Linked DNA regions of Arabidopsis thaliana. The protein of the gene in region 1 binds, or shares a complex with, the protein of each later gene. Each region holds a gene or a part of one and is shown in the gene's direction. Other genes may lie near its edges. The genes, in order: COP13, CSN5A, CSN6A and CSN5B.

Evidence for each region.
Region 2: COP13 (region 1) and CSN5A share a complex: the UniProt entries of both Arabidopsis thaliana proteins name them as parts of the CSN complex.
Region 3: COP13 (region 1) and CSN6A share a complex: the UniProt entries of both Arabidopsis thaliana proteins name them as parts of the CSN complex.
Region 4: COP13 (region 1) and CSN5B share a complex: the UniProt entries of both Arabidopsis thaliana proteins name them as parts of the CSN complex.

What each region holds. Positions count from the first base shown.
Region 1 is NC_003076.8:4,594,607-4,602,401, forward strand, and holds COP13 (Proteasome component (PCI) domain protein), read left to right. Parts: upstream 1-3,261; 5' UTR 3,262-3,363; coding exon 3,364-3,560; intron 3,561-3,742; coding exon 3,743-3,858; intron 3,859-3,958; coding exon 3,959-4,205; intron 4,206-4,341; coding exon 4,342-4,399; intron 4,400-4,486; coding exon 4,487-4,576; intron 4,577-4,776; coding exon 4,777-4,842; intron 4,843-4,995; coding exon 4,996-5,085; intron 5,086-5,173; coding exon 5,174-5,332; coding exon of another isoform or gene 5,333-5,380; exon of another isoform or gene 5,381-5,424; coding exon 5,425-5,546; intron 5,547-5,727; coding exon 5,728-5,800; intron 5,801-5,883; coding exon 5,884-5,955; 3' UTR 5,956-6,229; downstream 6,230-7,795. Other genes in the region: AT5G14230 (ankyrin), read left to right, coding at 1-1,169; AT5G14240 (Thioredoxin superfamily protein), read right to left, coding at 1,617-1,789, 1,982-2,187, 2,288-2,431, 2,715-2,962; AT5G14260 (Rubisco methyltransferase family protein), read left to right, coding at 6,533-6,898, 7,016-7,091, 7,253-7,458, 7,539-7,625, 7,726-7,795. UniProt on the Arabidopsis thaliana protein: Component of the COP9 signalosome complex (CSN), a complex involved in various cellular and developmental processes such as photomorphogenesis and auxin and jasmonate responses.
Region 2 is NC_003070.9:8,107,161-8,114,757, reverse strand, and holds CSN5A (COP9 signalosome 5A), read left to right. Parts: upstream 1-2,696; 5' UTR 2,697-2,862; coding exon 2,863-3,252; intron 3,253-3,379; coding exon 3,380-3,661; intron 3,662-3,747; coding exon 3,748-3,895; intron 3,896-3,998; coding exon 3,999-4,084; intron 4,085-4,610; coding exon 4,611-4,688; coding exon of another isoform or gene 4,689-4,760; exon of another isoform or gene 4,761-4,786; coding exon 4,787-4,876; 3' UTR 4,877-5,184; downstream 5,185-7,597. Other genes in the region: AT1G22910 (RNA-binding (RRM/RBD/RNP motifs) family protein), read right to left, coding at 6,809-7,145, 7,235-7,467. UniProt on the Arabidopsis thaliana protein: Probable protease subunit of the COP9 signalosome complex (CSN), a complex involved in various cellular and developmental processes such as photomorphogenesis and auxin and jasmonate responses.
Region 3 is NC_003076.8:22,781,359-22,788,667, reverse strand, and holds CSN6A (COP9 signalosome subunit 6A), read left to right. Parts: upstream 1-3,062; 5' UTR 3,063-3,137; coding exon 3,138-3,435; intron 3,436-3,524; coding exon 3,525-3,613; intron 3,614-3,699; coding exon 3,700-3,793; intron 3,794-3,992; coding exon 3,993-4,054; intron 4,055-4,173; coding exon 4,174-4,252; intron 4,253-4,333; coding exon 4,334-4,426; intron 4,427-4,559; coding exon 4,560-4,660; intron 4,661-4,752; coding exon 4,753-4,808; intron 4,809-4,969; coding exon 4,970-5,051; 3' UTR 5,052-5,284; downstream 5,285-7,309. Other genes in the region: PEX5 (peroxin 5), read right to left, coding at 1-244, 707-900, 1,251-1,383, 1,480-1,608, 1,894-2,013; WRKY2 (WRKY DNA-binding protein 2), read right to left, coding at 5,531-6,074, 6,181-6,339, 6,415-7,309. UniProt on the Arabidopsis thaliana protein: Component of the COP9 signalosome complex (CSN), a complex involved in various cellular and developmental processes such as photomorphogenesis and auxin and jasmonate responses.
Region 4 is NC_003070.9:26,848,969-26,856,217, forward strand, and holds CSN5B (COP9-signalosome 5B), read left to right. Parts: upstream 1-3,437; 5' UTR 3,438-3,591; coding exon 3,592-3,981; intron 3,982-4,091; coding exon 4,092-4,373; intron 4,374-4,444; coding exon 4,445-4,592; intron 4,593-4,696; coding exon 4,697-4,782; intron 4,783-5,024; coding exon 5,025-5,102; intron 5,103-5,194; coding exon 5,195-5,287; 3' UTR 5,288-5,451; downstream 5,452-7,249. Other genes in the region: EBS1 (EMS-MUTAGENIZED BRI1 SUPPRESSOR 1), read left to right, coding at 70-158, 233-585, 686-769, 906-970, 1,236-1,338, 1,469-1,627, 1,714-1,854, 1,934-1,977 and 3 more; AT1G71235 (uncharacterized protein), read left to right, coding at 5,591-5,837, 6,055-6,254; AT1G71240 (chromosome-partitioning protein, putative (DUF639)), read left to right, coding at 6,521-6,713, 6,799-7,030, 7,119-7,249. UniProt on the Arabidopsis thaliana protein: Probable protease subunit of the COP9 signalosome complex (CSN), a complex involved in various cellular and developmental processes such as photomorphogenesis and auxin and jasmonate responses.

The sequences.
Region 1 (7,795 bases):
TTGGCTGCGATATAAACTCGAAGAATGATGTAGGGAACACAGCCCTGTTGATCTCAATAAAACACAAACATCCAGAGTGCGTCAAGGTTCTCGCCCTTGATGGTGCTGATTTCGGTTTAGTGAACAAGTTTGGTCATTCTGCTGTTTCGATCGCTGAGTCAAACAAGTGGTCTCTTGGATTAGAGCGAGTAATTCTTGAGCTGATCCGGTTCGGTGTTGTTCCACATTCAAGCAACGCTTCAGTATTCTCGCCTTTGCTATATGGGGCTCAAGCAGGAGATGCTGAGGCGCTTAAAGCGCTTGTAAAAGCTCAAGACATCTACCTAGACTATCAAGATGAGGAAGGCTTTTCGGCTGCAATGCTAGCGGCCATGAATGGCCACGTTGAAGCATTTAGAGTCTTAGTCTACGCAGGCGCAGACGTGAAGCTGTATAACAACTCTGGCGACACGGTAGTCTCTCTGTCTGAACAGAACGGTAACCGTGACGTGATAGAGAAGGTGATGCTCGAGTTTGCTCTCGAGAAGGACAGCAGAAACATGGCAGGCGGGTTTTATGCTTTACACTGTGCTGCACGGCGTGGAGACGTCAAAGCAGTGAAGCTTTTGAGTGGAAAAGGATACAGTCTAGACATCCCGGATGGAGATGGCTACACTCCGCTCATGCTTGCAGCCAGAGAGGGCCATGGACATATGTGTGAATACCTAATCTCCTGTGGCGCAAACTGCAATGCTAAGAACGGAAGAGGGGAAAAGCTGCTGGATCTCGCGACTGGTGATGCGGAGAAGGTGATCCGTAATGAGTTGTCTCGGAGGTTTGTGATAGAAGGAAGCAGTGTGATGAAACACACCAAGGGAGGGAAAGGAAAGAAGCATGGGAAAGGATTGAGAATGTTGGAATCAAGTGGAGTACTAAGTTGGGGAAAGTCACGGAAGAGGACTGTGGTGTGCAAGGAAGTAGAGATCGGGATGAGCCAGCGGTTCAGGAAGAACCGTAAGGGGAAAGGCGATGGAGCGGAGGAGGAAGGGATTTTCCGGGTAGTGACTACGGAAAACAAGGAGGTTCATTTTGTGTGTGAAGGTGGGTTGGTGTGTGCAGAGATGTGGGTGAGGGGAATACGACTTGTGACCAGAGAGACAATTTGTGGAAGAACTCAGACTCAGAATTAGTGTTGTTTATGTATGTATATAAAGAAGTTTTGAGAAAGGGAGCTTCATTTTGAAGGTAGTGTGCTTCTATTGTGTTGGGGATGTTTATAGTTCTTGGGTTTGGTATCTGCAGTATATTTGTGAACTGTGAAGTAGTTCGAGTTGCACATGAATGAAAACTAAAACATCTCAGTTGATTTGAGATTCTCCAAATTTGATTATTACTTTGTCCAAAACAAAGACTATTCTAAACTTACATGGATTCACAGGCTTAGATCCAGCACTAAAATTCGGCATGTGATACCTGGATATCAAAAAACAACATGAAGTTCCTGTCTCTTTCAAAAGAACAAAAGTTACAAAATGTTTAAAAAACATTACATCACACAAGAAGTCAGCACTTTTGTTTACCAGTCACCAACTCAACAAGCAATAACCAACAGAGATAAACAGAGAAGCTTTGAAGTTCTAATCACTATTGTAACCACCATCATCGTTATCCTTATCTTCGTGGTCCTTCACCACTCGTTCTATGAACTGTCTTCGAACTCCAGCCATCACAGCTTCCCTCGAGGAGTCATCGTCTCCTCCTTTGCCATCGTTAAGAACTGGCTCTGATTGACACAGAAGTAAGGCTACACCTGAAAAACCAAATCAGTTGCAAGTATGTTAGACATGTGCCTAAGACCAATCTGCTCAAAGCATGATACAATCGCCAATGTGGTCACATCAGGTCTCAGATCAGACAAAGGCTAGAGATGAGACATGACATAATCATCAAACACAAATAAGCACAGATTACATCAGACAAACAAGGGTTCATTCAAACTTACTCTCTGGGGTGCACCTACGGCCAAAGCTCTTTAAGCCTACATGAGTTCCTTTGATGGCGCCATGGTGGTACACCAGCAAGGTAGGAAGATTGCAATCAGGGTAGTTCGGAATACAATCAGTAGATATTATCTTAACGAACTTTGTTGCTGGGTATCTACTACCCAATTCGTCTAGACAACCCAATAGCAAACTACATTCTGCAACACTATCAGAGAACAACAAGAAATAAACATGAGTTAATAGTGTTTCAAGCATGTAGTAAAGAATGGCTCAACAAGAGTTCACGAATACTTGAAAAAACATACCCATCTTTATAGAGACATACAACAACCCAATCTTCAGCAGAAGCTTGCGTAACCTCCCTCACGAAATCAGAGCCCGAGATGGGAGTCACTGTTCCATATCTTTTAACTTTAGCAGCCTCTCTTAGCTCAGACAACCTCTTCTTCCTATGAAAGCATCAAAACACATTAGTGCCTGTGAATCATGAAGTGTGTTGCACAATTATGTTTAGCCTATTCATCAACATCTCAAATAAGATACTACCCTCAATTGCATTCATATCCAAAACACAAACGAATCGAGAAAAACCAGAGCTTGATAATTGCATTCCCTAGCTACATGGCAACAGATCCGAGAAAATTGAATTCACAATCCACCAAGGCAAGGATTCTCCAGGGAAAGTTAAGATTGTAAATACAAAAATCAGAATGTTCGATTCGATCTACGAACCTGTATTCTTCGAGAAAGCGATCATCGTCGAGATCTTTGTCGTCCTCAAGATCCTCAAGCTCCTCCTCTGTCTTCTTATCAAACCATGCCTGATCCTTAGGAGCTGAAGACTCGTCTTCCGCCGGAGTATACGCCGGAGGTTTGAAAGCCGGAGCCTTCTCCGGTAGATTCCCCAATTTCCGCTGGATATCATCCCATTGAGTTGACGCTCCTTCAATGTCCTTATACACGAAATGATAATCCGCCATCAAAGTATAACCACCTACGAAGCTTCAAAGAGAACCTTTGAATCTGAGAGGAGAAAAAGCAGATTGCTTTGACACTCTGTGATCGCAATCTCGTTCTTTCTCTGGAAAGACGAATGATAAAAGGCCATCCCCGAAATTGGTCTGGCTAAACCGACAATTACCATCTGGTACATTTCGAACCGGGAATATTTGGTTTAAAAGCCGGTTAGATATTGGTTTATTATTCTAGAGTAATGTATTAGACTCTTAACCGTTCGGAGGGTTCGTATATATATTATGAGAGCATGTATTTTTATGGAGAAGATCCAGAGATAATTAAACAAACAGTTTAGCAAAAGATTTTGAGAGGGAGAAAAAGGGCGATCGATTAGGGTTTTTGTGTTTTCGTCTTAGTATCGAAGATGATCGGAGCTGTGAACTCGGTGGAGGCTGTGATAACGTCAATCCAAGGTTTATCGGGGAGTCCAGAGGATTTATCTGCACTTCACGATCTTTTGAGAGGAGCTCAAGACTCGCTCCGAGCCGAACCAGGTGTTAATTTCTCTACTCTTGACCAGCTCGACGCCTCGAAGCACTCTCTCGGTTACCTGTATTTCCTGTGAGTTTTAACCTATTGGTAGATTAGGTTTTTGTTACTAGTTTGTGTATACTTTGAGGCTGATTGATGATTTTGGTTATTGGAACTTGATGTGTGTGATTAGGTCGAAGTTTAACAAGGAGAATTGTCTATGTTATTCGATTTCTGATCTTTGAGTTTTTTGTATGGTTTGATTGTTACAGTGAGGTTCTTACCTGTGGTCCAGTGTCGAAGGAGAAAGCTGCTTATGAGATACCGATAATTGCACGGTTCATCAATTCTTGTGATGCTGGGCAGATTCGTTTGGCGAGCTATAAATGTAATTTACTGACACTTAATGAGAGCTTATCTTGTCTTAATGTGTTTTCTTTTCTTTTTTCTTTGGGGAGATGGATGATGTTATTATATTGATTTTGCAGTTGTATCTCTTTGTAAGATATTGAAAGACCATGTTATAGCACTGGGAGATCCGTTGCGAGGAGTAGGGCCACTGTTAAACGCTGTTCAGAAGCTTCAGGTCTCCTCCAAGCGTTTGACTGCATTGCATCCAGATGTTCTTCAACTCTGTTTGCAGGCGAAATCGTACAAATCTGGTTTCTCCATTCTTAGTGATGATATCGTGGAGATTGACCAGCCAAGAGACTTTTTTCTCTATAGCTATTATGGGTAAGCAATTTTTCCTCATTGCTATCTGTTTTTTTCCTTTGATCAATAGATGTGTAAACACATTAAATCCATCCCTGTTGGGTTTGTTTTATAGTATTTTCTTATTCTGGTCCTTGATTACCTGGACTTTTGATAGGGGAATGATTTGTATTGGACTGAAGAGATTTCAGAAAGCATTAGAGCTTCTTTACAATGTAAGGCATTTTTATTTTTTCTTACGTGCTTTTTATACATTAAGGACTTTCGTTTTAGTTTTAACTCAACCTAAGTACTTGTATCAGGTTGTGACTGCTCCTATGCATCAAGTCAATGCCATAGCTCTTGAGGCGTACAAAAAGTACATATTGGTGTCTCTCATTCACAATGGGCAGGTAAGGCTGTGTTCTTTATATTTTACTTTCTTTGTTTATCTAGTTTTCGGTCATGGGAGCATATTGCACGAGTCTGAATCAACTGTATGTTTTTGAGAAATGTTGGTTTCACAATTACATCCTGTGTCTGATTTTAATTTCAAGCATTGGTTAATCTTATGATGTTTTTCTTATAATCTTGTTTGATTTTACTTGTGCAGTTTACTAACACTCTCCCCAAGTGTGCTTCTACAGCAGCACAGAGGAGCTTCAAGAACTATACCGGAGTAAGTTTGAACCCGATCATTAGTTGTATTTTTCATGTTTGAATGGAGTCTGGTCCCTTTTTCACTTCAGTCCAAAGATTTCAGTTGTTTTGTACTCCATACCAGCTAAATCTATTTTCAGGCTTATGATTTTATCGTTCACCCTTTTCTCAGCCTTACATTGAACTGGGTAATTGTTACAACGACGGGAAGATTGGTGAACTAGAGGCATTGGTTGTGGCCAGGAATGCAGAATTTGAAGAGGTAAATTGCCTCTAAACATTTACCATAGTTTCTGTACCAATATTAAATATTCATCCCCTTCCATAACTTGGGCGAAATGCTCTTTCAGGATAAGAACCTTGGATTAGTTAAGCAAGCAGTGTCATCCCTTTACAAGCGTAACATTCTGAGATTGACACAGAAGTACTTGACCCTGTCGCTTCAAGATATAGCCAACATGGTCCAACTTGGTAATGCTAAGGAGGCGGAAATGCATGTGCTTCAGATGGTATTGTGTCCCACACTTGATTTTTGGAAGCTAGCTTTATTAGTTTAACTGGTATGTTGGACAATATCATTTTTTTCTTTACAAACCTGCAGATCCAGGATGGTCAGATACATGCCCTTATCAACCAGAAAGACGGGATGGTCAGATTCTTGGAGGACCCTGAGCAGTACAAATCTAGTGAGATGATTGAGATCATGGATTCTGTTATACAAAGGTATGTCTACAGAACTAAGTGTTTTGATATGGTTTTTTTTTGGGAAACATTGCTTGAATGTTGAAACTCGTAATAAGGAGTGCATAATTAGCACTTGGAATCAAGTTGATATGGAGATGACTGTTTTGCCAAAGGAAAGTAGTAGCATCAAACAAGTTATGTGTTTTGATAAAAATTTCAGGACTATTGGTCTGTCGAAGAATCTCTTAGCCATGGATGAGAGCTTATCATGTGACCCTTTATACTTGGGAAAGGTAATTTAATACCATATTCCATTAGTCTTCTGTCCTGGAAACCCATGTTTCTCTGACTAAGCCGTTTGACTACTTTTTTTCAGGTAGGAAGGGAAAGACAAAGGTACGACTTTGGAGACGATTTCGATACTGTTCCTCAGAAGTTCTCCATGTAAACAGCGAAAGTCGAGAAGCACCAACAAAACTTGGCTCAAAGACAACCGTAGTGTGAATCTTGAGAATGTTACTTTTGATTTCTTTGTTCATTTTTGTTGGTTTAAAAAGTTTCATATTTTTGTCACAATTGCCAACAAGTAGAGAAGACCATTATGGACCCTCAAATCTTTTATTTCCCTTTTACTTAAAAAATTTTCCCCTTGCGCGTGTATCTCTCGTGCTAACTTACGCGAGCGTTTTATCATTTGCAAGGGTTAGAGAAGTCTCAACGGCGTCGTATCAAACTCGTTTTTAACTGCGTGTCGTTTGGGGAATCTGATAGACTCCTTGTTGTGGTGGGCTAGTTTCAGGCCCATTCTCGCTAAGCGCCACGTAGATTTTTATTTCTTTACTCATTTTTTATGTCGCATCTTCCCCATTTCGTTTTCAACCTGATTTCTCCATTTCCCTCTCTTATCCTCAATGAAAAAAATAATCTGAGAAAACGCAAAAGAAGAACGGAGCAAAATCCTCAGAATCGTCGCCGGAGAATCTTTACGTTTCGACATAATCGGAATTTTGGAATTGATAATTCCGATGGAAGGGGTTATCACATGTTTCCATACGAAATGCGTCTCTCTTCCAATTCGTTCTTTCCCACTTTCTAGGGTTTCTTCACTTCCTCGGTGGAGGAACAATAAATTGATCTCTTCATCGCGATCGGTTCATCTAAGAAGCTTGTGCGTTTCGAGCTCAGATACTTTAGTCGCGAGCGGTTCACCAAAGGAAGACGAGAGGCAGAGCAAAGTATCGAGCAAGAAGGAAGGAGATGACTCCGAGGATTTGAAGTTTTGGATGGATAAGAATGGGTTGCCACCTTGCAAGGTTATTCTCAAGGAGAGACCAGCTCATGATCAGAAGCATAAACCTATACATTATGTTGCTGCTAGTGAGGATCTTCAGGTGGTTGACTTAGCATTTCAACAGTTTTATTTGCTTATACACAGTTCCATAGGGTATTCCAAGTATCAATTTCCGGGTTTTGATGGTAAATTTTTCCTAATTACCTGTCTTTTACAGAAGGGTGATGTGGCGTTTTCAGTTCCTGATTCTCTGGTGGTTACTCTGGAAAGAGTTTTGGGAAACGAGACTATTGGTATGAGACATTCTCTATTATGTTTCCTATTCCATAAAGCTACTTCATCAGTTATGCACTATAATATTTGGATTAGACTTTGTGATTTCTCTTAGATAAGGGTGGGATTACGGGTGTTTTGATTCTTGTCTGAAGCCATATAAACTCTCTTTATCACACAGCTGAACTGTTGACGACGAACAAATTATCCGAACTGGCTTGTCTAGCTTTGTATTTGATGTATGAGAAGAAACAAGGAAAGAAATCAGTATGGTATCCCTATATAAGAGAACTTGATCGTCAAAGAGGAAGAGGTCAGTTAGATGCGGAATCCCCTTTGCTGTGGTCAGAGGCTGAGTTAGATTACCTAACTGGTAGTCCTACCAAGGTATTGCGTTAGTATATGCCGGACGTGTGATGAACTAGTATAGTGGGTTCTTAGTGGTTAACTTCTTTAACATGGTTCAGGCCGAAGTTCTTGAGAGGGCTGAAGGGATCAAAAGAGAATACAATGAGCTTGACACTGTCTGGTTCATGGCTGGATCTTTGTTTCAGGTGTTTGGCTACCTACGATTTCGGCTTCTTCTTGTCATTTTAATATATGGAATGCTAAACATCGGCCTCGGACTTACACCATTTTATTTGTGTTTTGCAGCAATACCCATTTGACATACCAACTGAAGCTTTTTCATTTGAGATTTTCAAACAGGCATTTGTTGCCATTC
Region 2 (7,597 bases), on another chromosome or scaffold:
CTACTGATCATAACGCTTAGTTTATAGTACTTATTTGTATTAGACTTTCATTGTACATGGGAAATAAAATCTTAAAACAATCTCTAAACCGTTAAACTCTAGACCAACAACGAACCCAAAAGGCCAAATGCATTTATATGAACAAGTTTGATTACTAGTTCCACCAAATTTCTACAATAAGTTTCCTTGAGATATTCCATAGTAATTTGAAGTTGATTTTTAATTGACATTTGTTGCATTATAAATGAGTAAGATACGCCATATAATTGTTGAAAGACCTAAAGCGAGTTTGAGATCATTAAGATAAAGAGGTAGTCATAAATCGTTTATCGTCAAGGTCGACGAAAAAAAGAAGTAAAGTGGTCATATTCGATTTCTGATAGGTATGTAAGAGAGAGATTAAATGCTTTCTAAAATTTTATACATGATTTGGACCTCTTATCTAATATCATTCACTCAATTTATGGACGAGAACATAACAAAAATTTAAATACTTATCGAAGAAGGAAGAAAAAATATTTAGCAACTTGGCTTTAAAGGTTATTCCACTTGTCACTATTCAAAGATTCGAGTTTTGAGCCTTTGAGTAATACCTTGGTCACCCTTATATTGCAACCACGTGGTATAAAGATTGTAACGCTTTAATTCCAATGACCCCTTATTTTGTGGACTTTTGTCATCAATTGTACCAAGTTTATAAAGATATAGAAACTGAGGGCGTATGAATTGTTTCAAGCTAGACATCAACAAAAAAAATGTTATCCACTTTCTCAAATCTATATATACTAAAGGATGTGTATTTAATCTAGTAGTTTAAATTATTTGTGTAAAATTTACAAACTTTATGTTATTTAATTATAGATTTTAAAAACTTTAATGAAATCCAATGTTATTAAACTAATAATTTAAAAATTAACTTTAAAATCAATTGTTATTGAAAACAGTTTGTGGAGTTGATTCTTATTCATCTTGAAAGATTTGAGAAAACTTCTTTAGTTACAAATACACAAATTCAAATCTCATGGTTTTAGATAGAATTTGAAAAGATTTCTATAATTTTAAGAAAGTTGATGTGATTAATTGTACAATCTTTTCAAATTCCATCTACAATCATGAGATTTGTTTTCAATAACAGTTGATTTAAAAGTAAATTTTAAAATCGTTAGTTCAATAACACTTGATTTTAATAGAGTTTTTAAAATCCATGATTGATAAATTTTACACAAATCACTTAAAATACTAGATTGAATACACTTCTACAAAATCATCAAAATCATATAACTACTTACCCTCCCCCTCCCACCCCCCTCTAAATTAACCGTCATTTTAACAAAAACTGCATGTAACAAAACTTTCAAATTTTACCGAATGTGACAAAACTTTCAAAACTGCATGTAACAAAACTTTCAAATTTTACCGAATGTGACAAAACTTTCAAATGGGACAACACTTTCAAAAACAGCAACATTTACCACATGTCACAAAACTTTCAAATTTTACTTTTATACTTTCACGTAATCTAATTCTATTACCACTTTGTTAGCAACCACTCCTTCCCCATGATCTCAAAATGTATCCTCTCCTCTAAACTTTCTTCCACTTTTTTTTTTATAAGTAATTGTAACAGTCAAACAGATGCATTAACTTCTTCTTTATTGCTCTTCTTTCTCACAAACTCAGAAGATCTTCCATTTTTTTTTTCAAAATCCAACTAAAGGCAATTATGTTTTATTTTGCCAAAATATTTTGATATATGATGTAATTTGGCATTTATTTTGTATCAGCATAGCAGGGGCGGCCATAATCTTAGTATATGCATATAATTGAGGCTGCTCTTAAATTTTAGCGTATTTATATTGTAGTGAATTCTTTGTCTTGTATAATATTTTGGATGTAGGACCTGAATGTTGGTACATGAAGACAATCTAATATTTTTAAAGCAGTTATCATTAAGCATTTAAGCAAGTAATGAAACACAACAACACGGTAGAAATTTAAGCAAGCACTTTGATGATCTCTCTCCTTAACTCAAAACATCTTTATAGTATTGTTGTGTTTCATTATTTGTTCTATGTTAATTGCTTTACAAATATTACACTGTGTCCTTGTACAAATATTTAGGTCTAATGCTAAAACTAATTTTTCTTTTGATTCGCAACACTCAAAATAAAAAACTGATCGAAAGCTAACCTTATGTTATACTCTCTGAGTTCTGACACAAACAAGAGAAGAAAAGAGAGGAAAGTGATTTAGATGCTTTGATCGATGATAGAATGAGAAGACAAAAGCTTGACTTTATAGCTAAAGATCAACGTCTATGCCATAAAGTCAAGCATAATTCACACAATATATAAGTTGAACATGCTATCAAAATAAGCTTACTACATTGGTGAAATTATGCATGTGTGGATATCTCAAGAAATATGCATGAGATGCATTACTCTTCTTTTACGCTTTGTGATTTAAGATATTGTATGCCAAATCTATGTGTTGCCAACATTGATTTCTATACCAATTGGTTGATACAATGACTGGAATTTATCCTTTGATTTGCCAACATTGATTTCTATAAAAGTTAAACAAACTAAAAATAAAAAGGGAAAAATATTTAATAAAAAATGTACAATATTAAATTTCCATAAAAATTTTATATGGTTAATGTTTTGGATTAGCATTAGTCCCCAAATCCCATATTAAGTAAATCCATTTTGAGTTTTGTTCTCGCAAACCGGTTTAACCCAAGAACCCAAAGATCTCTCTCTATTTGTTTGCCTTCTTCTTTCTTTCTGACTCAAACCCTCAAATCAATTCTCGCGATTAAGCAAAACCCTAGATTTATTCTACTCTTCGAAGTCGATTTCAATGGAAGGTTCCTCGTCAGCCATCGCGAGGAAGACATGGGAGCTAGAGAACAACATTCTCCCAGTGGAACCAACCGATTCAGCCTCCGACAGTATATTCCACTACGACGACGCTTCACAAGCCAAAATCCAGCAGGAGAAGCCATGGGCCTCCGATCCTAACTACTTCAAGCGCGTTCACATCTCAGCCCTTGCTCTTCTCAAGATGGTGGTTCACGCTCGCTCCGGTGGCACAATCGAGATCATGGGTCTTATGCAGGGTAAAACCGAGGGTGATACAATCATCGTTATGGATGCTTTTGCTTTGCCTGTTGAAGGTACTGAGACTAGGGTTAATGCTCAGTCTGATGCCTATGAGTATATGGTTGAATACTCTCAGACCAGCAAGCTGGTAAGATATCTCTTATTCATCTCTCGCTGTAGCTCCTTGTTTAATTAGCTAGTTGCTACTTGGATCCTTTATGCAAGATTTTGCGAGTGTTTGATTGATTGGTTATGACTGTAACTTTGAACTATAGGCTGGGAGGTTGGAGAACGTTGTTGGATGGTATCACTCTCACCCTGGGTATGGATGTTGGCTCTCGGGTATTGATGTTTCGACACAGATGCTTAACCAACAGTATCAGGAGCCATTCTTAGCTGTTGTTATTGATCCAACAAGGACTGTTTCGGCTGGTAAGGTTGAGATTGGGGCATTCAGAACATATCCAGAGGGACATAAGATCTCGGATGATCATGTTTCTGAGTATCAGACTATCCCTCTTAACAAGATTGAGGACTTTGGTGTACATTGCAAACAGGTATGTATAATTCTTATTTATCGATTTTAAAACTTGGGAGGGTTTTAATCATCGATCTTATGATTCATTTTTTTTGTATGTGGCAGTACTACTCATTGGACATCACTTATTTCAAGTCATCTCTCGATAGTCACCTTCTGGATCTCCTTTGGAACAAGTACTGGGTGAACACTCTTTCTTCTTCCCCACTGTTGGGCAATGGAGACTATGTTGCCGGGCAAATATCAGACTTGGGTAAATTCTTGTATATATGAAAGAGCAAGTTAATTTACTTTTCATCCAGGTCGTAGTTTGATATATCCTCTTTTCTTACCATTTAATTGTTTACATGATGAAGCTGAGAAGCTCGAGCAAGCGGAGAGTCAGCTCGCTAACTCCCGGTATGGAGGAATTGCGCCAGCCGGTCACCAAAGGAGGAAAGAGGTTTGTCTAAATGGTTGCTTTAGCAAAATTATTTGTTATGTTCTCAATGTTTATTGACTGTCTGAGATACTGGACCATGATCTTGAGCTCATACACTTGCCACTTTTCAAGCTTGTTCCTGTGTAGAAACTTTTCATTTGGCTAATTAACTGCTACTATCAACATCTAGCAACTTGGATTAAATTTGAACTTTTTATTCTTAGGCATTATGTTGACTGGATATTGACTAATAGAAACTCTACCTGCAAAACACTATGTTTTACCTTTTCTGGGTTTGAAATTTCACAATTGAGTGTATGTTTAGTCAAAAATATACAGAGCTATTAAAGTTTGAACTAGTAAAACAGGGAGACTTTGATGTATCAATTTGTCAACGAGTTGTTGCCAATAGTCTATGTCTGCTTCCTAGAGTTCTGTTATCTCTGGCTGTGTGACTCATTTTGATATTGTTTTAATCTTCTTTACATAAAAACATTTGTTTTGGAGATTACATTACCTAAGTATATGTGTTGTGGACCACTTTCAGGATGAGCCTCAACTCGCGAAGATAACTCGGGATAGTGCAAAGATAACTGTCGAGCAGGTCCATGGACTAATGTCACAGGTGAGTAAATACAATCTGACAATGCTGATCCTATTTCCCCTTGCGGTTAATGGATCCATGAAATTGACTTAAAAAGTCTTTCATCCATCAATGTGCAGGTTATCAAAGACATCTTGTTCAATTCCGCTCGTCAGTCCAAGAAGTCTGCTGACGACTCATCAGATCCAGAGCCCATGATTACATCGTGAAGTTGGTCTATTCTTTTGTTTTTTGGCTGCGGAAATTGACTATCGGTTTGACCCGGTTTATGAGGCAATGCCCATTGTTCCCTATATCTCTAGTGTAGTATCTGCTTCAGACAAAGATCTTTGGGTTATTAAATGACATTAACATAAATCGATCATTATGTTTTTGCGTTTGACTATCTTGATTTAGTGGTATTAAAAACCAAATTCCAGATACACACGTGATGTCACAGTAATCATGTGCCTGTTACGGAACCATGTGCAAAAAATTGACACAAGCATACAAATGTTCTCCAACGATTGAAGCAACAATGATTCTAGGCCCTCTTTTCTTTCTGTTCTTCATCACATGAAATTCATCAGGATGTTGTTTTTCACATTTATGTTTGAACAGCATTTCTTTTGTTAAAAGCGAACAAATTCTATTCTAAAACCGAAATTGTCATTACAACAAGACCACGATTTAAGGGTACTAAAAGCGGATTAAGATTTCTGCATTCGAACAAACTGACTACTAAACGAACATCAGGCCGAGAAAACAGTCGGTAGGAAGAGATAACGTGTGAAGTTACTTGAGTAGGATTAAGAGTAAGGTAGTAGTAATTGATAGAAGCTGCGTGGGGCTTAATCAATAATGACATCCTCACTTAACCAGCATTACTGGAAAACAAGAATAAGAAACCACATGATGATGTCAAAGACTTTTTGGGCCTTCGCGTATCCCTAAATGGGCCTATTTACGGCCTAATACTTGTCTAATGTATAGTTGGGTAGAACAAGAAGGTCCGAGAGTTCGAAGCTTAAGCCATTCTATCTTTTCTGGGGATCTAGAAGATCCAAATGATCAAAGAAGATATTATGAAAATTTATTCTGGAGATTAGTTTTGATATATTGTGATTTGTTTCACTACTTTTGTTCTTTTAGCATTTTCTCGAAATGCATTTGGATTTTAGATATTCTCTAGTCCATGTTTCAAGCTTCTTGGTTAACACAAGCTTAGGTTGTTAATTTGCACAGACACAACTGTTACTCTGCCCTGAACAAGGATCTTATCTCTACTCCTCTACTCCATCTATATCATCATGCTTGACACCAGGAAATATATGATATAAGACATTTTTAAAATGATACAATTGAGGAAGGCATGAAGCAGTGTTTGGGGGTAGTGTCTTAGACTCGATTTTCATCAACCTCAATGGTTTGATGGGAGCAGCAGATTGTATGTAATTAAGCTTTCATTAAGGGAGTTTCTTTCCACTAGTGTTTTCTTACAAGATAATGAGAGGACAGACTTGAGAGGTGACATGGATGGGCTACAACATGTTTTCTCGCAAGATGTTGACTCTAGCACACAACCACGTCTTAATGTTTTCAGCCCTAGAAGGTGTCAAACTGGACTGAGAAGCATACATTGGGAAACATGAGAACATGAGGAGATGTGAGTACAGTGTTCAGTATGAATATTTCCAGTATCCTTATGAACATACTAGATTCAAAAACTGAAAAGCATGAAGTTGTATGTGTTGCATAGTATATTCTAGGAGGTTATGAGATGTTACTCCCCAAAGTTTTTAACCACTAGTAACAGTAAACAGAGACATTTGAGTAATGCATTTTTATTTAAGAAACATAATCTGAGACTTGAGGACTTAAGTGACTAAGTCTTTAAGAATTAAGATACTAAACATGTTGATGCAACAAAAAGGCTTGCAGGGTTTTGTGCTGATCATTTTGCTTAATTATGCAATCGTTTTTTCAGTCTTTCAAACAGAAAATTGTTTTGGTGCTTGATTTTTTTTTTACATTATCCTAACAGACATTTTCTTTGTCTTGTTGATTAGCCATCCTTAGGCTAAAACAACATAAACTAATTAAGCTGATACATGCATCAGCTTGAGATTGGCACATGAGTGATTGATGATGATGATGCTCCATTAGCAATATCTCTCAAAGAGAAACCCATTCTCTCGAGAAGATGCAATTGCAAGAAGGTGAGAGATGACAAATACGACATGATCACCATCTGAAACAGGAGATCCCATTGGGATCTGCTTAAAAAGCCACCTCCAAATTCCATAAAATGGGGTAGCTTTTAGAGCAGAGGGAGAGAAACTAAGTGCTGAGATTAGCCAGGAGCATCCTTTAAACCATAGAATGGCTCTTGACCTGAGAAGAAGAAGATGATGATATGAAGCTTGATAGCTACCAAAGACTCTAAGCTTCTTTAACGGTAAGGAATAAGAGGTGGTTGAAGCGGAAAGCCTGTTACGCCTGTGGCACAACAAAACACACTGCCAACAATGTTAGTGTATGTGTATATCTTTGTTGCCTTTGGTGTACACATGTCTATTATCATATACGAACCTTGTTGCATAGAAAAGGTCGGAGGAGAGTAATGGTGAGGGTTATAAGAAGACAAGTGATGATAAAATGGTTGTGGTTGAGAGAACTGGACCCCACCATGTCCTCCACCACAAGGATAAAAAGGAGTAGCGGATGCGGCTGCTGCGGTTAGTCCACCGCCTCCGCTGTTTCTGTTTCCATAGACTCCGTATTGTCCTCCAGAAGTGCAGCCGTACATGCCGTATAAGTTCTGTAGCACATCGTATTAGTATTAGATTAAGGCTATGCTATATGAATATATGATCATGAACAAGTAAAGATTCGTTGAGACAGAGAAAGATTCTTAAGTTCGTTATACAAACACTTATGTCAGAGAAGGA
Region 3 (7,309 bases), about 18 Mb from region 1:
ACTCAGTAGCCCACCCATTCACACCATGTTGTTGCTCAAAAGACTGGACCCATGAATCAGGACCACCATGATCCATCCCATGTTGGTTAAATTCAGCCGCCCAATTGTCAGCAGGATGTAAATTAGGTTTCACAACAGCTTGAGACTCATTCCAGTAATCATCTAGCTCCCGAAATCTCCCGGGAACATGACCTCGAGCTTGTATCCCATCATCAATATCTAAAGATGACAATAATGCGTTTACCTTGAAAAACAATGCCGAACAAAATATTCAGCCAACGACATGGAGAAGAGAAAACGGCTTAGGCCATCGGCAACAAACAAAAGGCTTAACTATACTGCACAGCTGGCATGGTCTCGAGAAATCCATACTAGATAGGAACAATTACCAAGTAAAACAACAGCTATAATTCCCAAACAAAAGCCCTGACCCACAGATGATTGTGATATATGACAGTGACAGTGCTACCTCGTTGCATTCCAAAATGTTACATTTTGATTTAAACTCAAGATGAAGGAGAGTGGACCTGAACTTTCTTGTAATTACACTTCGTTATATAATTGAATAGATCTTGATTTCAAAAGGGCAATGGGCATGAATGATATAACACCAAAATATTAAGTATATACTCGACCCTTAAAACCTAAGTTGAAAGCATATAACACAATGTTGCAGCTACAGAACACTATCAGATAAATGGCAAACCTGAGAATTAATAAATTCCTCTCCCCTATCGGCAAAAAAATGCCGGGCCATTATGCTACTACGATCACGTATACATTGTTTGTCACTTTGTGACAATCCTAGAACTGGAACAGGTGCTGGACGAAATGGAATACCACCACGGCTACTCTCAACAAATGAATGCAGAAAGTTTGATAAAACTCTCTGTGGGGGTCCTGCAATATATAAGCAATGGAAAAACTAATCAAGCAAGCAAACGAAAAATGCCTCACTCGACATTAGGCTATATAACTAAGACAGAGCTATGAATATTCAACGTGTCATTCAGGAGAAATAGGACTCATGGAAAGAAATGACCACACTATTTATTTCATGTCGCTATACTAAATTACTAACTAACACTTTCAGTGTTAACTTCTCTTCCTACAAAAATAATGTTATGTACTTCTCGATTCAAGATGAATATGTGAAAATATATACTACCTTTTATTCAATATCAAAACCACTACATCTAACCGTTTTGTATCCGGGATTAAATAAAAGTGGTATAGATCAAATCACAAACCTTCAAATGTAGGCTGAACTGGCTCAAACATAGGTCCCATTGGAGGCATAGGTCCACCTTGCTGTACCTCATCCCAAGCTGCACCCAAACCATTCTGATCAACAGAGCGAAAACCACGGAAGAACTCTGACCCCTAATGTAAAAATTGCAAACCCATCAGCCATCACAGAGGCTAGATAATCAGAGTCAATACTACCATTGTAAAACCAAAACTTTCCACAACATTAACCTGAGCACCCGGTTGCAGAAGTGGCTGATCTAACTCAGAACCAGGAAGTGACCTTATCTGTTGGTCTTCAGAGTAAAATTGTGGCCGAGGACCTGACCGGTTTGCATTAGGTATCTCCTTGAGCCTTTCCTGCACAACAAATCACCAATCATCAACATTTCTTCAAATTCTCAGGAAATTTTAAACCTTTAAACAATTGTCAGCCAAATCACTTGACATAATCGAAGAACGTCTAAAACCCTAACACTACGGAAAGAAAAATCGAAACTTGGCAAGCAAATAACAAAACCCAACGAAAAATGAGATCTAATTCGACTTCTTAGTTCCAGGAGAACCAAGGAAAAGGCGAAGAATGGAATCAGGAGACTTCAAATGTCAACACTGTTTCGATCAAAAAGGAATCAGGAAGCTAACCTGGGTTTTGGAAGACGAACCAAGTAAAGCGTTGGTGAGAGCTCCGAGAGGATTAGAAGAAGAAGACGAACCAGGAACGGCACAAGCGGCTCCGCCGTTAACAAGGTCTCTCATCGCCATGTTTCCAACGGGTTTCTACTCCTCCGCCGCAATCACCGTCGTTGAATCTATCAGTATGGTTTCCTCCGTTGTCCGGAATTGATCATCAACCTCCCAAATCCTAATCTTTAGTTTGGCTCGTCTCGTGGCGGTGTTTTTTTTGTTTGTTGTGTTTGGTCACAGCTTCGTAAGAAATTATTAAATTTTTTGATAGTATTTTGGTAATTAATATTTATATATTATCCACACCACACACATTTTTAGGCTCACCAACACATTTTTGTTTAGTTATTTATTTTTGTGAAAAAACCGTTTTTTACAGTATCCGTAATTAAAAATGAATTGTTGTGAATATAGTTTTTTTTTATCTTTCTTTATCAAGATATGTTTTATCTTTTTGTCCGATTTGCTGCCACTTTTGAATTTTGTAGTTTCCTATTAGTGTTGAATTATATTTGCTTGATCATACCAAAGATAAATAAATTATATTGCTTGATTTTTGCTGGGTTTAGTTATATTTCTTGATTGATTGTGCAATGCGTTACAAACGAAGGTAGATTCTACTCTTGTACTCATATCACACATTTGGACGACCAACATGACTTCACTAATTTCATCAATAACTAAAAAAAAAAAAAAAATTCATCTACATCAACAATAGTTACAATATGCTAGGCATCTCTAGATTTTTTTTTCCTTTCATTAACTTGCAAGAATTTACACACTAGAAATCAAACATTTTGTGGAAAAAATTATAACCTTTAGTCTAACCACTGAACTATTGAACTTTCATATTGAAAAATTTGATGAATGTTGTCTGTTTTCAAATTTCTAGTACATTTTTTGTCAACTTCAGATATCTGATTTTATGAGTCTCAATCGTTTGGTTTATCTTATTTTCGTTTGTTAATTAATATAATTAGTTTCCAAAATGAAAAAATGTAATTGGAAAAACAAGTCATGAGGCCCAACCGCATATATAAGTCCTACGCTCGGCCCATACAGAAAAAACTAATATCCATATAGTTGACCCGGAAGACCCGATCTAGGATCCGAATCCACATTGATTTAAATAAAAAAAATCTTCATAAAAAAACTAAAAACCCAAAAACCAAAGAATTCATCAAAGGAGAGAGAGATCGACAATGGCACCTTCGTCATCAAGCGGTTTAACCTTCAAGCTACATCCTTTGGTAATCGTCAACATATCGGATCACTACACTAGGGTCAAAACTCAGCTCAATCCTCCTGCTTCAATCTGCGCAAGCGGCCATGGCTCAAACAACGGCGAAGCAATGTTCCAGCAAAACCCTAGGGTTTACGGATGTGTGATCGGTGTCCAGAGAGGTCGTACTGTTGAGATATTCAACAGTTTCGAGCTTTTATATGATCCTTCTACTCAAACCCTTGATAGATCTTTCCTCGAGAAGAAGCAAGAGCTCTGTAAGCTAAAGCTCACTCTTTTTATTCTCAACTATTGATGCAATCGTAAATTAAAGTTTGAACTTTTATCTGGTTTTATTGTTTATTAGATAAGAAGGTGTTCCCTGATTTCTATATTCTGGGATGGTACTCTACGGGAAGTGATGCTGAGGAATCTGATATGCATATCCATAAAGCTGTGAGTCCAATGCTCTCTCTAGTATTTTTGTATAATTGAGATTTGGTCTCTAAAAGTGTGGTTTTTGTGTCTGCTCTTGGTGACAGTTGATGGATATCAATGAATCTCCTGTTTATGTGCTTTTAAACCCTGCTATCAATCACACACAGAAGGATCTTCCAGTGACTATTTATGAAAGTGGTATGCTTCTTATAATGTCATATGGTTCTGTGGGTACATTCTGATATGTTAGCATGTTAGTATAGGTATATGCGTAGTTCAGAGTTTCTAGATATCTTCCCAAGTCTTTATCTTTATTGACTTCCAGATTTAGGTCAGATTGTTTTACAAGATCCTAACTTTTCTCTTTGTTTCATTGATTGATCTTCATTACTTGAAGAATTGCATGTCATTGATGGAATCCCGCAGCTAATTTTCGCTCATACAAGCTACACAATCGAGGTCTGTGCTTAAGTTTGATTCTGCAAATAATTTTTTTTTTTTTTGTCAAACATTCTGCAATTTAATCTATGTTATGAAAGTGTACATTGACTAAGATTTTGAGGTGTTATACAATGTAGACAGTTGAAGCTGAACGGATATCAGTTGATCATGTTGCACATCTTAAACCATCTGACGGAGGCTCAGCAGCAACCCAGTGTGAGCCTTATGTCACTAATACATATCATACTCCACTTCCTGAGTCTTACTGTTTTTGGCTGATTATTCGTTCATATGCAGTGGCTGCTCATCTTACTGGTATACATAGTGCCATCAAGATGCTTAATAGCAGAATCAGAGTGCTTTACCAAAATCTTGCTGCAATGCAGAAAGGTATATTCTGTTCTTTCCCAAGTTCCGATTCTTATCACCGTGGTTTCATGTTTACCAGTCCAGGATTCTAGCTGAAGATAGTCAAAGTTGTGTAAGTGTAATAATTTATCTGCCAACTCATTTATGTGTGTAGGTGATAAATCTTGTGACAACTCAGTTCTGAGACAAGTATCTAGCCTGCTAAGAAGATTGCCTGCCATGGAATCAGAGAGATTTCAAGATAATTTCTTGATGGTGAGTTAGTTAGATCTGCACTTGATTCTTTTCAGTGTAGCTTATTGTCTGAGATATTTCGCAACTTATGCTGGCATTTTTTCTTTTTGCAGGAGTACAACGACAAATTACTAATAACTTACCTAGCGATGATTACAAATTGTTCCAGGTTTGTACCTAATGCAACATTCTAAAGTATTTGAAAGCAAGTATATAGGCTAGCGAATGCTCTTTAACTAGTGGTTCTTTAGGAACTGTGAAAGATACGGTTTTCACCGGGCTGGTGGATTCTGTTATATCAGTTAATAATTTTGTTTGCTCAATCTGCAGCAACATGAACGAGATGGTCGACAAATTCAACACCGCATATGACAGAAACACTCGAAGAGGTGGAAGAACTGCATTCATGTAAAAGATCCTTTCCAGCGATTCTAGTTCTAAAGATCTTCTCTTGGTTCCTGAAACCATTTTTAACATTGCCTCTGTGAGAATCTATAACTCAGACGGCAAGACTTTATCCTCTTCATTGTTTCTATATCTATAAGAACATCTGCTTATCTATCAAAGCTCTTGTTTGATCTTGAACAAGTTTCTATTGTTAGTAAAAAGATTTTAAGGTTTGATTCTATCAGTCTCTCTAGTTACATCCACATCAGTCTCCAGTTAGCAATTGCAGTATTGCTACACAACACTCACTTTTTTCTTCTTTGTTGATTTCAATATAAGATAAAGAACCAGTAAAAAAGAAGACAAAACCAAGGAATGAACAATAAAACAGCCTTTACCTTCCCCAAAGTTTGAAACCAATAAATGAAAGAAGAAGAAGAAGCAGAAATTAAAAGTTATTATAAGGAGTGACCAAATGCAGAAGAAGAAGAAGAAGAGTAAATTTCAAATCTGAGGTAATCTACTCATGATCTGGTTATATACCGATTGTCCTGAATCTGAAACCGGTTCAACCTTTGGTTCCATCCCTCTCTGCATCATTGCTTCACTCATCCCAACCGGTTGTGTCATATACGGGTGAGGCAAACCCGGCATTTTCCCTTGACCATACGCTAAACCAGGCATTGAAAGATTAACCAAACCGGTTTGTCCTAAACCGAAGGAGAAACCAGAAGGAGGACCCAAATGTGGCTGAAAGCTAAAGGGACGGCTAAAAGGAGACTGATTGTTAGTTGTGACTTGTCTGTCGAATCTCCCACGTGGCGGCTCTGAGTGATGACCGTTGTGGTAATGGTGAGAAACTGCGGCTGAACCGCCGCTGTTACCGTTACCACTATCACCACCGCCTCCGTGGCTGCTGTTGCGTGCAGCGGGGACGTCATGGTTATGTTTGCCTTCGTAAGTTGTTATAACGGATTTGAGATCATGAGAAGCTCTTTCAACATGTTTCCTCACTGTACATCCTGGAGCTGTGCATTTGTAATAACTCCTAGAAAAACATTATGAAAACGTTATAAAAAAAGAATTGGTCTTGTGATTGCCGATAAACATATAAACAGAACCAGACCAAAACAGAGGAGGGGATTATAAAGAACCTTGGATTTGGATTGCCTTTGACAACTTTCTGACCATATTTTCGCCAGCGATAACCATCATCAAGAATGTCAACATCACTCGTTGTCTGCACAACAACTCTTGGCTCACGTATGGCTCTTGTTGATCCACTCATCTCTGCTGCAAAAGCTTCTAGTTTCCTGTAAAATCAAAAAGTTTTTGAGTCTCGTTTACTGAGTCATCGAGGATTCGGTGTTTCGATTGCTAAAACAAACCTTCTTTTCGACTCTGATTCATCTCCTTCTCCTCCCCCACCTCCTCCTCCTCCATCGTAACCCAAAGAAACACTTCCATGTGTCCCTCGATCATCTTCATCTTCATCATTAGAGAATGTTGAAGAAGCATCAACCACAACCACAGGATCACCTGACTCGTATTGACCTCCGGTTTGAGCTTGAATTGATCCAGATTGGTTTCCATACTCGAATCTCGTAGATCCCTCTTCGACATTGTTCTCATTGCTTCCACCTTGTTGTTGAGTGTTATTACAACTAACCCACGTTGCAGCAGAATCTCTCTGTTGTTGTTGTTGTTCAACTTGTTCAGTTCCATCTACTTGCATCCCTGAGCGGCGATTAGGTGGAGGTTTAAGATGATTATGAGCTCCTTTGTATATAATCTCTGTGATGTGACCTTCCCTTGATCTCTCAACTTTCTTCTTCACCTGACAATTCGGGTTTGTGCACTTGTAATAGCTTCGCGGATACTCACTTCCTTTGACCAACTTTTGTCCGTATTTCCTCCAGTTATATCCATCCTCTGCAGGCGCACCACCAGCCATCGAATCACCGCGTCTTTGCTCTTCTTCTTCCTCTTGATGATCCACGGTTTCAAGACTGGTGTTTGTAGTGACATCAGATGTCTTGTTCTGCCCGTTTTGATTGTCAGTTTCAATCCCATAAAGATTGGAGCTTTCTATGTTTTCAGAGCCAGGTTTTACTTCTTCTGCGGATTGATGAGAAGAAGATCTATTGTTGTAGTTACCATAATCAACTGACATCATCTCTGTTGTGCCTTGGAAGAAAGAGGAAGATGATCTTGAAACAGGATGGAAGCTGAATGATGCTCCAATATCATCAAAGAACTCGTCTTTCGCTTTCTCAGAAGACA
Region 4 (7,249 bases), on another chromosome or scaffold:
TTCACTTATTTTTGCTTATGCCTGACCTTCTGCTTTTTTGTTTCCTCTCTGCTGGATGTCTTTGTCCAGTCATGATCTTGATAATATATTGCTTGAGAATCTAGGAGATACCACTACACTGCAGGCAGTTTTTGAGGTTGAATCTCTTGTTCTTACAGGTTAGCTTTTCTAAACTTATTCTTCAAGGGTGGATGGATTTGTTCATGTTATTATTAACATAACCCTTGCACAGGTCATTGCGCGGAAAAAGATCATGAGGCTCCTCGTGGCCTTCAGCTGATTCTGGGAACCAAAAATAGACCGCATTTGGTTGATACCCTTGTAATGGCCAATTTGGGTTATTGGCAGATGAAAGTATCCCCAGGGGTTTGGTATTTGCAACTTGCTCCGGGTAGAAGTTCGGAGCTATACGCTTTGAAAGGAGGAAATGATGGGAGTCAAGATCAATCCTCGCTGAAACGTATAACTATCGATGATCTGCGTGGTAAAGTTGTTCATCTAGAAGTAGTTAAGAGAAAGGGTAAGGAGCATGAAAAGTTGCTAGTTCCTTCAGACGGTGATGATGCTGTGCAACAAAACAAGGAAGTGAGTGCTACTTTACTCGAATAGAAGATTTACAATAAAACTATTGGTCCTTAAAAGTGTTGGTTATATATTCTCTAATGACGCTCTTTTGTTTTAGCAGGGAAGCTGGAACTCAAATTTCTTGAAATGGGCGTCTGGTTTTGTTGGTGGTCGTCAACAATCAATGAAGGGAGGTCCTGACAAAGTGAGTAGCTTTTGTAATATGGACTAACTTTTATGATTGTTGTAAACCTGTTGCATCTCAATTCTGCATGATTCTAACATGTGGGCTACCTTTGCAACAATTTTAATCAAGTTATTTCTATTTATCATCTTTTCAGGAGCATGAGAAGGGTGGGCGACAAGGGAAAACGATAAATATATTCTCCATTGCTTCAGGGCATTTGTAAGCGCTATCATTTTTCTAACCTGCTTGACCGCACACATTGACTTAATATAATTACGTGCGTTGAACCATTTTAGAAAATCTGAATTACTTTAAGTGCATCAATCATATGAAAAGAAAATCATATTTGGTATTTCTACGTCTATATGTAGATTGGATATTCGTGTGCATAAGAGTTTTAAGTGTATTATGTGAACAAAAAAAGTTTAATATATGATTTGCTGGTATCAATTCATTTCTGACGCTGAGGCACTGCTTATGACAGATACGAGCGTTTCCTTAAGATTATGATTCTCAGTGTCCTGAAGAACACCAATCGTCCTGTAAAATTCTGGTTTATTAAGAATTATCTCTCTCCTCAATTTAAGGTTGGCTCCTTGTTTCTTTGCTTCCACATATGCCTTTTGTGTTTGTATCTATATATGTCTTCTTATCTCTAGATGTGAACTTATCTTGTAGCCACATTAACTTAATGTGTATCGCATTCTAATCTTGCAGGATGTGATTCCACATATGGCACAAGAATACAACTTTGAGTATGAGCTGATTACATACAAATGGCCGTCCTGGTTGCATAAACAGAAAGAAAAGCAACGAATTATTTGGGCCTACAAAATTCTTTTCCTTGATGTCATATTTCCTCTCTCATTGGAAAAGGTACAGATGATCATATTTTCATTTCTTTCTTGCGATTTTGATGCTTGGAAGATGTCACTATAAGGTATTCGACATGTGTTCTGTAGGTTATATTTGTCGACGCAGATCAAATTATAAGGACAGACATGGGAGAACTGTATGATATGGATATTAAAGGAAGACCTCTCGCGTATACTCCTTTTTGTGACAACAACAGGGAAATGGATGGCTATAAATTTTGGAAACAGGTAAACATTAATCTTTTTGTTTTGCTTGTAGAGGTAGTTTTGGTTTCCATACTCTTACATTCTCAATTGCTTTGAACAGGGTTTCTGGAAAGAACATTTACGTGGTAGGCCATACCATATCAGGTAAAAAAACCTACTTGAACCTCAGTAAGTTGTTGCTTTTCCCATTCTTAATGTGCCTTGTTCTATCTGTAGTGCTCTATACGTTGTTGACTTGGTTAAGTTCCGAGAGACAGCGGCAGGAGATAATCTAAGAGTATTCTATGAGACGCTTAGCAAGGATCCAAACAGTTTGTCCAACCTAGATCAGGCAAGTTGTATAATATGGTTCTCTATACTTAGGGCTGTAACCTTTCTTTGGTGGTCACACTATCGTTTTACTTTATTTGAAAGGCTTTTGCATTTGACTCTTACCATACACCATGCTCTGAATCTTTAGAGTTCCAGGTTCAAACATATTGATGGCATGTCATTATTTTGTTTCAGGATCTTCCTAATTATGCTCAGCATACTGTTCCTATATTTTCACTTCCCCAAGAGTGGTTGTGGTGTGAATCCTGGTGTGGAAACGCCACAAAAGCCAAGGCCAGAACAATCGATCTTTGCAATAATCCCATGACAAAGGAACCAAAGCTTCAGGTAAAATGATGGCTTTCCTCATATCTACAACACTCACAAAGCGTTGTTTGTTATAATGCGGTGTTCTTCTGCAGGGTGCCCGAAGAATCGTAACCGAATGGCCCGATCTTGATCTCGAAGCACGAAAATTCACAGCAAAAATCTTGGGTGAAGATGTGGAACTCAACGAGCCAGTAGCTGCTCCTGCTACAGACAAGCCTAATCCTCTTCCATCAAATGACATCTCTGAAGATACAGAACAAGACTTGGAATCTAAAGCAGAACTGTAAATTCAATGCTCCTGAAGTTTCAAAAGAGGAGAAGATAAATTAGACAATCATGGCTATTTTGCATTTGCTAGATAAGGTTTCTAGTTTTGTAGCTACAGTTTCTTAGACATCTCTCACATAAATTAGACAGAAGATAAAGTCAACAGATTGCAGGAGAATAAGAATATCAGTATAATATGATTTTGAATCAATTACAAACATAGTCACTCATAACGTATTTGTAAACTCGTCCGTCCAAAATCTCAAATCAAACCAAACCGACAAACCAGTAAAAAAACCGAACCGGAAAACTGACGTGTCAGTGTCTGTATAAAAAGCAATACGTGTTCTTTTAGCAAAGGGTCTGACACTCTGATAGAAAAGCTGAAGTAATTCAATAAATTATTTTAGAAGAGGGAAGAAATCTACGGTTTTACAAGGGGACGTTATTTATTAATGGATTTTAATAGAAAGAAATCCAACACTAATACACTGTTATTTAATTAATGATTTTAAATTCAATTTTAAAATTTAGTGTTATTGGAGTTTATATCTTTGTAAATCATGTTTAATAGATTTTAAAATTTTGTGTTATTCAATTAAAAGATTTTAATACCGTCAAAAAAAAAAAAAAAAAAACAAACTAAAAGGATTTTAAATTTTATTTCTAAATTAGAGAAGAATCCAGAGGAATTAATTTTCACCACTTTTCTCTTCTTATATATAAGTCAATCCCCGAAGTAACATTTTTGACACAGTTTTCAATTCTTCAGCAGACAGATCGATCACACTCCATCGATTCCGTATGAAACCCTAGATTTCTGCAACTGAATTCCTAATTCGAAAAAGAATGGAGGGTTCGTCGTCGACGATAGCAAGGAAGACATGGGAACTAGAGAACAGCATTCTAACAGTAGACTCACCTGATTCAACCTCCGACAACATCTTCTACTACGACGATACTTCACAGACTAGGTTCCAGCAAGAGAAACCGTGGGAGAATGATCCTCACTACTTTAAACGAGTCAAGATCTCAGCGCTCGCTCTTCTTAAGATGGTGGTTCACGCTCGCTCTGGTGGTACAATTGAAATAATGGGTCTTATGCAAGGTAAGACCGATGGTGATACTATCATTGTTATGGATGCTTTTGCTTTACCAGTGGAAGGTACTGAGACAAGGGTTAATGCTCAGGATGATGCTTATGAGTACATGGTTGAGTATTCACAGACCAACAAGCTCGTAAGTGAGATTCAAGAAACTTCAAAGTTTTGATTTTTTTCTTTAGAAAGTTTGTATATAAGTCAGAACAGTTTGATTGATTATGGTTATAATAACTTGACCTTTATAAGGCGGGGCGGCTGGAGAATGTTGTTGGATGGTATCACTCTCACCCTGGATATGGATGCTGGCTCTCCGGTATTGATGTTTCTACGCAGAGGCTTAACCAACAGCATCAGGAGCCATTTTTAGCTGTTGTTATTGATCCCACAAGGACTGTTTCAGCTGGTAAGGTTGAGATTGGTGCTTTCAGAACATACTCTAAAGGATATAAGCCTCCAGATGAACCTGTTTCTGAGTATCAAACTATTCCTTTAAATAAGATTGAGGACTTTGGTGTTCACTGCAAACAGGTACATTTTCTTGATTTTTCTCGGTGCAAGGTCCCAACATGATTCTTATGTTTGGCTTTTGGTTTTGGCAGTACTATTCATTAGATGTCACTTATTTCAAGTCATCTCTTGATTCTCACCTTCTGGATCTACTATGGAACAAGTACTGGGTGAACACTCTTTCTTCTTCTCCACTGCTGGGTAATGGAGACTATGTTGCTGGACAAATATCAGACTTAGGTAAACTCTTGGATATGGCCTAAATCATTCACTCTTACTTTTTTTTCTCAAGTCACAGTCAAGTAATGTGTTATATAATCGTTTTCGTAATTTTACCAATGAAGCTGAGAAGCTTGAGCAAGCCGAGAGTCATCTGGTTCAGTCTCGCTTTGGAGGAGTTGTGCCATCATCCCTTCATAAGAAAAAAGAGGTATGTCCTAGTGGTTCATCAAATTTTAATTGCGATTACGGTGGCTAGTTAAGTGCCTCTGTAAACATCTAGCTACTAAGAGGATATATCTTCAAATGTTTTGGTTATTGGGACCTGGAGGTGTTCTGTTTAGTTGAAATGAAAGTGTTGTTGAAGGTTGTACAGATATATAACTTTCGAGAATGTTAATGGGTGTTGCTTGTTAAAGATCTCATTTGACGTGTGTTCTAAATCACTTTCAGGATGAGTCTCAACTAACTAAGATAACTCGGGATAGCGCAAAGATAACTGTGGAACAGGTCCATGGACTAATGTCGCAGGTGAGTAATAATATTGAAACGAAATGGTGACATATCTCCCTTAAGGTTCGTGTATTTCACAGACTCAAAATCCATCATTGTTGTACTTGTAGGTCATAAAAGATGAATTATTCAACTCAATGCGTCAGTCCAACAACAAATCTCCCACTGACTCGTCGGATCCAGACCCTATGATTACATATTGAAGTTGCTCTTCTTTTGGTTTCTAGTTTTGGATTGACCCATCATTTGTTGTCCTTTCATTTATTTTCTGTTGTGTAAAGAATTATAATGCTAATGAGAATAATACAGAAGAAGATTTTGGTTAAAGAAATGTTTTTAAGCCCATTCGATTCGTCGGGGTTAAAGGAATAATCTTAAGCCCTTAAACAAAAATTGTATTTATGGAAATCAGAAACCTAGTGATCTTTTCCAACTCTATCCCCTCTCTCTTTCCTTCTCTGCACTCACGTTGTCCGTGAATAGGTGGTACTAAAACATGGCTAACAATGGCAATCATCTTTCTCTGTCTTTGTTTGTTGATGAAAAGTGTTCCTTATGGGACTGTCGACGACGACGCCCACAAGGAGCTATGTACTGCCAACCTGACCATCTTCAACAAGCTTATCAAGAACGCACTTCACACAACATGGCAAACTTATACACTTGAAGACGTAGTATTGCGGAGAATCTTAGAAAGCCTTAGTTATCCGGAGCTTCGTGGAAGTCCGGGGATACCAAACCTTCAAGAAAACAGTCAGTTATTGTCTATAGCTCCGCACGGATATGTTTCCTACAAATTTGACATGTAGCGAGAAACATAGCATATGGCTGTTTCTCGCGCTGTTCGTGCCCGACCAAGGGGTTTGGAAACTGGTTAAAGAACGGCATCGAAGGAACTATGTACGTGATAAATTTATACCACGTTTTGCTATGAACAATGGTTCAACATGGGAGCTATATAGGTTTACAGTGAAAAGTGACTCTGTAGCCTTTTTCACTATGGAATATCGCAAACCCTTGCTTCTTGGGGTGGAGGATCTCAGCCTTTTTGATGATGATGTTGATGATGATTCGCATTCGAATAAGAGGAAAACTCCACCTTGTTCTGAGAGCAAGAGAACTGACAAAAGATCTTCATATGGACATGTTTCCGAGTATTCCTCTAAATAAGATTATGGACCTTAATTTGATGTTTACCTTTTATTTTCTGTTGTGTGACACAAATTTGTAGGCAAATGGGAATGAATTAAATTGGAATAATACAGAAAAAATTGTGTTAAGGAATCGTCGACATGGTTTGATATTTATTTGAGAATAAAGACACAAAAGATGAAACTAGAAAGCAATAATTTAGTAAGACCAACAAAAAAAAAGGGTGGTGTTTTGCTATTGTACGCCTCTTTCTCTCCAAAGCTTTTTTTTTTTCAGCTACAGAAATGGCGCAGAGAGTCGGAGCATTGAAAAGATTGAAACTTTCTTCTGCAACTCCAGATTTTCCTATTGGTTTCCGTTGTGATGGAGTTCGTGTTCATCGACGCTGCTCTTTCTCCAGAAATTGTGCTTCTAATCGAAAGCCAAGACTCCGAATTGTTGCTCAGAAGAAATGGAAATTGAACGATATCGACACAAGTAAGACCCTTCTTCCTCTTCGAATTCTGGTTCTTGAAGTTCTCTGTAACAGCTGCTGAGTTATGTTGGTGTTCTTATATGACAGATGTTGTACAAGAACGATTTAGTCAGTGGGTGTCGAAATCACAGAAAATTCTGAGTGATGTAACATCTCCATTGAAGAAAAAGAGTCAGAGTCTCAAAAAGATTGATCTTGAGGATCAACAAGATTTTGAAGACTTGGAGGAACTTCTTACAGTTGAACAAACTGTTCGAAGTGATACACCAAAAGGGTTTCTTTCTTTTGATGCTATTATCTCCATTGAACAGTTTAGTAGGTGAGCTAATCTAAACCACAGGATCATTGAATCATCTTCACTTTGTGGTTGTTGTTAAAGTATTCATTTTTCTTTGACCCTTTATAAGCAGGATGAATGGAATCACTGGGAAGAAAATGCAGGATATATTTGAAACAATTGTTTCTCCAGCTTTATCTACTGATGCCCGGTACTTGGTGGAGTATTGCTGTTTCAGGTTTTTATCGAGGGATAGCTCGG